Sus scrofa: one gene and its partner. The protein of the gene in region 2 interacts with the protein of the main gene of each other region in a biochemical or structural test. Links are inferred from orthologs where the notes say so. Each region holds a gene or a part of one and is shown on either strand. Other genes may lie near its edges.

The links.
Region 1: the proteins of PTEN (region 2) and RPS9 form a complex in vitro, tested with the Homo sapiens proteins (2 studies listed by BioGRID). The link is inferred for Sus scrofa from reciprocal best matches to the Homo sapiens genes PTEN and RPS9.

What each region holds. Positions count from the first base shown.
Region 1 is NC_010448.4:55,924,350-55,928,548, reverse strand, and holds the start of RPS9 (40S ribosomal protein S9), read left to right. Parts: upstream 1-1,268; 5' UTR 1,269-1,363; exon of another isoform or gene 1,364-1,394; intron 1,395-1,618; 5' UTR 1,619-1,643; coding exon 1,644-1,740; intron 1,741-1,940; coding exon 1,941-2,063; intron 2,064-4,199. UniProt on the Homo sapiens protein: Component of the small ribosomal subunit. The ribosome is a large ribonucleoprotein complex responsible for the synthesis of proteins in the cell. Part of the small subunit (SSU) processome, first precursor of the small eukaryotic ribosomal subunit.
Region 2 is NC_010456.5:99,992,047-99,995,779, reverse strand, and holds part of PTEN (phosphatidylinositol 3,4,5-trisphosphate 3-phosphatase and dual-specificity protein phosphatase PTEN), read right to left. Parts: intron 3,433-3,733; coding exon 3,389-3,432; intron 1,390-3,388; coding exon 1,151-1,389; intron 1-1,150. UniProt on the Homo sapiens protein: Dual-specificity protein phosphatase, dephosphorylating tyrosine-, serine- and threonine-phosphorylated proteins.

The DNA of each region.
Region 1 (4,199 bases), on a different chromosome or scaffold from region 2:
AAGCTTCATAAGGGTTATTTTATTGGTGGCTATGCGCCATCATGTGAAACAGTTCCTTACACTGCTTAATCAGTATCTGTTACAGAAATGAATTAATGAGGCCCATGCTGAGGGAGGCATGTAGCCAGAGACACTAGCTGCTAAATATTCCAGGTATGGCCCAATTTCTACCAAGATCGTTTCCCCCATTGTCCCTAAAAAGCAAAGAGGGCAAAAGCGGAATCCTATCAGGATGTAAGAGTGTATCCTTTGCCTATCAGAACTGCGTATCCCTAGGCAACTGCGACTTCTCTGAATCCTCAATTTCTTTTTCTTTTGCTTCTTTTTTAAGGGTTGCACCTTGCAGCATATGGAAGTTCCCAAGCTAGGGGCCCAGTCGGAGCTGCAGCTGCTGGCTACGCCACAGCCACAGCAATGGAGGATTCAAGCCGCGTCTGCGACCTACACCACAGCTCACTACAACTCAGGATCCTTAACTCACTGAGCGAGGCCAGGGATTGAACCCGCATCCTCATGGATACTAGTTGGGTTCATTTCACCTGAGCCACAACAGGAACTCCCTGAATCCTCAATTTCTGCCTTCAATCCTCAGACAGGTTTGTAGCCAGAGTTCAAAAGGGCAGGCTGGTTTCTGGCTATGCTTCGGGTTGACAGTATTCAGATACGAAGTGATTTTTTTTTTTTTTTTTTTTTTTCTTTTTACCGGCGCACTAGCGGCGTGTGTAAGTTCCCAGGCTAAAGGTCCCATCAGAACAGCGGGTGCCGGCCTACCCCTCAGCCAGACTGAGTCCTCCAGCCGCATCTGCCACCTACCCGGGGGCTTGCGGCAACGCGCGATTCTTAACCCCCTGATCGAGGCCCGGGGTGGAACCCGCATCCTCACGAAGCATAGTCGGGTTCTTAACCCGCTGAGCCACGATGGGAACTCTGACAAGACTGTTTTCATCATTCATGGATGTGAGAGCGTTTCTTGGCAGGAGCTTTTGCTTCGCGCAGCTCTCTGTGGATCTTTTCACAGAGTTAGAGCCGGCTGTAGTTTAATGGTGGTGGCGGTAACGTCTCCAACTTTATACGGCGACTCGTTGGCTAGCTGACAGGATTTAAATCACCCCCCCAGGGGCGGAGAGGAGCTTTCATTTCTCAAGGGACGGTACTCCCACCTCCCGTCGGAGACAAGGTCCTCCCAGTTCAGTGTGCCGCTCTGGCACAACCTTTCGTTTCGACTGCTTTTTTCCGCTCGCCAACGCCTTTTCTGATTGGTGCAGGCTTACGCTGTGCGCGCTGACGTCAGCAGACGGCAACGTTGCTATAAGACCGTGGCCGGCGGGCGCGTGCGCCTCTTTTTCCGTCCGGGAGTCTGTGGGTGAGGCGTGCTGGGGTGCTCTTTAGTCCAGGTGTGGGTTGTAAGGTTTCGTGGGCCATTCGAGTTTTAATGAGTACGCTAAAGAAGTTGGAGATGAAAAGAGGGTGGTTGGAAAGTAGTGGCGATGATGCTGCTTGTAAAAGCTTCAGGGGAGAGTCTCACGAGATCTTCCGTGGCCGCCATGAGATCTTAGCGTGGTTGTGGGACTGCGCAGGCGCTGCGCGGAGGCCTCACGAGCCACTCTTTCCCGCACAGGCGCAGACGGGCGAGCAGCGCCAGCATGCCGGTTGCTCGGAGTTGGGTTTGTCGCAAGACTTATGTGACCCCTCGGAGACCCTTCGAGAAGTCTCGCCTCGACCAAGAGCTGAAGCTGATCGGTTAGTACGTAAGGCAAGGTTTCTGCTTTTCGGGCCTGAGAAGGCTAACACGTGGGGGAGGCTACCCACTCGTTCATTATTTTCAAGTCCTGTGGTGTGTCCCCTTCCCCAGACGGACCAGTCTTGTGATCCTGTAAGCCACCAGGCTTAACGTTTTCACCAGTCCGTGGGACTGAGCCCATTTGCCCGTTTTTTTGCAGGCGAATATGGGCTCCGGAACAAACGTGAGGTCTGGAGGGTCAAATTTACTCTGGCCAAGATCCGCAAGGCTGCCCGGGAACTCCTGACGCTGGATGAGAAAGACCCGCGGCGTCTTTTTGAAGGTGTGTATGTGATCCCGCAGGGGTAGGATGAGGTGCAGAGCTCTGCTCTTCCTTGTAGGCTAGCTCAACGACCGGAGGTGTTATATGGAGCAATTGAGCCAGCCTTTAGTTGGAGTCCTGGGCTAGGAAGATGGGCTTGGATCCAAATTCAGGCCCTTAGGTGTGACTGGTTTATCCTTGCATTGAATTTCAGTTTTCTCTTAATTGGAACCTACAGTGCCAAGCAAGTGTGGGCACTTGGCTGTAGTGAAACAGTACTCTTCCGTATGTATCTTGTTCGCTGCTGGTGGGAATAGACAGTGGAGTATCTCAAATGTTGGATGCTTTAGCAGGAAGAATCTCATGTGCCTGCTTTAACACTGATCAAGGACATGTAGCCAAGGCCTGGACAGGAGAGGACCTGTGGATGTCACAGGGAAGAATTTGCAGGAGTTCCCGTTGTGGCTCAATGAAAACCAACCGCCCTAGTATCCAAGAAGATGTGAATTTGATCCCTGGCCTGCTCAGTGGGTTAAGGATCTGGCATTGACGTGAGCTCTGGTGTAGGTCGCAGATGCGGCTTGGATCCTGCCTTGCTGCGGCTGGCAGAGTCGTGAATGTAGCCCGGATTCAACTCCTAGCTGAGAATTTACATCCTTATGTCTCAGGTTCAGCCTTAAAAAGTAAAAAACAAAAAACTCCCAAAACATTTTAGGTAATGTTTTTGGAGGGGAAACATAGAGATCACATTGTAACTTGAAGGTAAAAATAAGTAAATTTTGGTAAAGTATATGGAACAAAATAAACTTTTTTTTTTGCCATTTCTTGGGCCGCTCCCTCGGCATATGGAGATTCCCATGCTAGGAGTCTAATTGAAACTACAGCTGCCGACCTACACCACAGCTACAGCAACGCCAGATCTGAGCTGCATCTGCAGCCTACACCACAGCTCATAGCAACGCTGGATCCCTAACCCACTGAGCAAGGCCAGGGATCGAACCAGCAGCCTCATGGTTCCTAGTCGGATTCGTTAACCACTGAGCCACGACAGGAACTCCTGAACTGTCTTAGATTCTGAAGGACTTAAATTTCTACCATGAGACAGGGTTAATGGAGTGCTTTCAAAAGCAGCAGTTGACATGATAATTCAAATTTTAGTAGTTTCTCTTACATTGTCAGCACAAGTAATCAGTAAATTGGGTTATTATGCCCTACTTTGTACGTTGTATTCTGGATGTGCAAGAGATAACACAGTACAGTTCCTGATCTTAACAGATGGGAGTCTGGCTGTAAATAGTTTTGTTGTATCTTGTTTGCTTTTTTGTAACAGCTTTTACTGAGATGAGATTTACTTAAAGTGTTTATTTTTAGTTATCGCTAAAATTGGCTACCTTATAGGTGTCATCCTGATAATGCTTTTGGCCTGAGCCTAGGAAATCTTGACTTCTCATGAGAAGAAGGAGGGGCTGGGAATCCAACTGGGCTTCCTTGGGCATCTGGGGTTGCTAGTCGGAATTTTCTCCTAATGTGCAAGGAAGGAAGTGTGTTTACACTCCTCACTGTTAAATGTGAGTGTTCATCGACATCAGAGGTTGAGGAAGGCTTGGAGTGTCTGTCTACACCTAGACCAGAGCCTCTGCAGTCACTTCTTAACCCCCTGTGCCACATTGGTAACTCCCCCATGGTTCTTTTTTAAGGATGTTGGTGGTTTAATAGTACATGGGAAACGTGTCTAAAAGATTTTGAATTATGGTGAAGTTTCCATTTTCAAACGGTAAAGACAGGGAGTTCCTGTTCTGGCTCAGTGGTACCGAGCCTGACTGGTAACCATGAGGACGCAGGTTCCATGCCTGGCCTAGATCAGAGGGTTAAAGATCTGGTGTTGCTTTGTCATAGGCCAGCAGCTGCAGCTGATTCTGCTCCAGCCTGCGAACTTCTTTATGCCTTGAGTATGGTCCTAAAAAGCAAAAAAAAAAAAAAAAAAAAAAAAAAAAAGTAAGTAGTAAGAACAAAAAGGCATTAAGTGTCCAGATTGTTAGATGATCCTGAATTCACTTGTTTACCACTGGATGTTCTATATTCCTTTTTTTTTTTTTTTTTTTTTGCTGCACCAGTGGCATATGGAAGTTCTCAGACCAGAGATCAAACCCTCATGGC
Region 2 (3,733 bases):
GTTTCCCTCCAAATGAAAAAAGGATGAACCAAAGTAAGCATCTTCAGGTCCTCTTTTCTGGAGAGGACAGAATGTGCTCTCAAATTTATTCTAATGCTATTATTCCAGGGTATACACAGTATACAGAAATGTACGGCAAGCTGTTAAAATCAACATTTACCAAAATCATGCATTAATAATAAGATACAATTTTGTAAAGGATCACCAATAAACAGTACTTTGGCATCCTAGATAAAATTCAAAAAAGTAACAAAGACAAATAATAAGGAATGAGGAAGGAGTAAAGGAACCAAGAATCAATGCAACTACCCAGCTGAAAATGACAGCTACGATCACTTATATCTGTTTTGAAGCTGAGTTAAAAAAAAATTAGCTTAAACTGGAAGAGAACCTTCCTCGTTGTAAAAATTATTAAAACCAGGATAAATTTTTCATATAAAGTTAGGATGTCTTCCTCAGTAGAGCTCTCTAAATAAGTTTCTCCATCTATCTGGAATAGTTTGGAGTTTTTTTTCTTCTTGGAGGGAGAGAAATGAACAAAGTCCCTTTGTAAGAAATGTAAACATATTTTGCCATACTCGCTACCCAAAGAAATAAATCACTTGAAAATTACTATAAAAATTCTCCAATAGTTCACCTTTTGCTTCAAATATACTACACAAATTTGTTATTGATTTTAGCACAGTCTTTAGTCTTCTAAATAAGGGAAGAACCTTTAACTAATATTAATTATCATTACACATTTATAAATATTCATATCAAAGAATAATCTTTATGTATTATAAAAGTAAAGATCACACTTTATTAGGTAATAGCATCCAAGTCGTTATCCAAAGATACTTTATTCTCAAGCAAACTTCAGGAATATCAAGCTTACTTTTAATCAATGAGCTTTTTAAAATGTTTCACAAAGATTTCACTAGACCAAAAATGGAATACAGTTAATGGGTAAGATTTGCTAGCATCATATGAAAATACTAGTATGAACAAAAAGCTGAATGAATCAGTAATTTGCTCATATGAAAGTTAAGGTAGTACACTGATTTCAATGTTTAGAGGAAAGAAACAAGGGTTACCAACTAGCTTTCTGTTTTCTAGTAAATTCTCAGACCTAAGAAGAAGGATGAAAAAAAAACCAAATATAACTTACCTTTTTGTCTCTGGTCCTTACTTCCCCATAGAAATCTAGGGCCTCTTGTGCCTTTAAAAATTTACCCCGATGTAACAAATATGCACAAATCATTACACCAGTTCGTCCCTTTCCAGCTTTACAGTGAATTGCTGCAACATGATTGTCATCTTCACTTAGCCATTGGTCAAGATCTTCACAAAAAGGTTTGATAAGTTCTAGCTGTGGTGGATTATGGTCTTCGAAAGGATACTGTGCAACTGTGGAAAAAGATAACCTCAGAATAAAAAAATCTCTCCTGAGTTGCTAATTAAAAGTAGGTTAACTTTTGAAATCTTGCATATAAATTCAATAGAGATTTTAAATAAAAACTGAACTCCAGGGAAAAATTGTCTGATAATTTTCAAATAGAAAATAGAAATAATCTCCTGTTAACTCAAATTTCCCCATTAGATAGGGAGGCCAAGTATCATTTTCCCCACTTTATGAAGGAGGAAACTTTGCAATAGAGTAGCAATGTATCAGAGGTCACAACGTATCAGAAATGGAGGTAAACTCAAAATGAAATGTCACATGAGCCCTTCTTATCAGGGCTTACCATATATTTTCTAACAAAAGGAGTTGCAGTACTTATAATATTGGATCATTACAAAATGTATGTTTCAAAGAAAGTATAGTTCACTAATAAATCAACAATGGAAAAGATAGCAATTTGTGCTTCATACAATAAAAATGCCAAGCATGTTATTTTAAAGATGGTCTTGCTAATAGTGCTGTATACACATGACTTTAAAAGTATTTACAAAAGAAACTGGGGAAAAAAAAAACCTATTTAAAAAATGTATAAAATCATAGTAAAGTTTATTAAAGGAAGTTTCAGGTTTTTTCACATGAGTTATAAGAACCCCAAACTTCTCTGTTCCCTATAATTGGAGTAGAGGGTTTTTGCTTGTTTGTTTAATTCTCCAAAAATAGGACTTTAAATATATCACTATTAAATTTTATCTATTGGTCTCTGCCTAGATTCCACTCTATAAAGTCCCGACATTCATGTACTTAATTATCCTCTGCATCATCTAAATATGTAAAAAATATGTCTTTTATATCAAGCAAGTCATTTACAATGTGGTACAAGGTACGCTCAATTAAGCCTTTGGTGTGACAGAACAGTTCTTCACAGAGTCATCAGGACAGCTTTTACTTAGTCATCTGCCTACCATCTTTGGTTCCCCAATGGCATACAAAAACATCCAGGTAAACCTGTTAAACATCTATTTAAAGCTAGCTAAATCTCTATTAAAAGACTATTTGATTATTATGCAGTAGCCTAAATTCACTAAAAATGAAACATTCTATCCTGGCTCTCAGCTAAAGCACTTCTTAATTCTCAAAACAAGTGCTGGAATGTCCATTCTAGTTATTTAAGAAGGATCAATGACAAATATATCAATCGGTAGCTCATGGTACCCAATTCTCTTTTTGACTTCATTGGCACCCTGTCCAAGCTTTTCGATTCTCTGGGTCTTTCATGGTGCAAAGGGTCCCCACAAATACAAATGAAAGTTGTTGTGGGCTCTGAGACAGAATTTACTATACCTGGAGAAGAACTCATTTAAAGCAGCTCCTTCTCTCATCTATCGGGCTCCTCTTATCCATATTTTATTACACCCTTTTCCACCATTTAGGTCATGTTCCTCAATAGAGTTAAGTTTTTCTGCTTTCTTTCTACCTGTAATCTCTTACTATTTACACCAAATGCCTCAAACTATAGATATAACCCTCTCCTTATTCTACTGTTGGTCTAAGAACTTCTCCCTATTTTCAGTCTACTCTAAATTTTAGTCTTCCTTGTACTACTACCAGCAGGTTTATATGATATTTGTTTCCAAAACCACAACAGTAAAATTTTTCAAATTTTCTAGGACTATCTTTAAAAAAAGTTTATTTGTTACTTTACAGCCAAACCTGAGGCATATCGAAGTTCCTGGGCCAGGAATTGAATCTGAGCTGCAGCTGTGACCTACACCAGATGCTTTAACCCACTGCACTGGGCTGGGGACTGAACCCACACCTAGGCAGTGACCCAAGATGCTGCAATTAGATTCTTAACCCACTGTGCCACAGCAGGAACTCCCTCTAAGACCATCTTTAAGATAAATATCTCACTTGATAATTGAGATTATTCATTATTGCAATGACAGCAAGATTGAGACTACTGGCCTCAAGTTATCTAACATAAAAGAGTGTATTTATACCTACCTCTGCAGTTAAATTTGGCGGTATCATAATGTCTTTCAGCACATCTAAAAGAAAAGTTTAAATGGGATATAAAGTTATTTTCTTCACTTGAGGAAAAAAAAGGTATAACAGTAACAAACATTTTATGGACCTTTATAGAATACTGGGCATTATGTTAAACGTCTTATTTCTTTTAATTCTAAGAATCCTTAGAAAGTAGGTAAGTAGGTACTGTTATTATCCACATTTTACAATTAAGGAAATAGAAGCTTAAAATGTTAAATGTAAGCAATCATAGTTTATACGTTTGCTCACAAAAGTGTGATGTCACTAATACATAACACTGCAAATTCAGCTATATCTTTA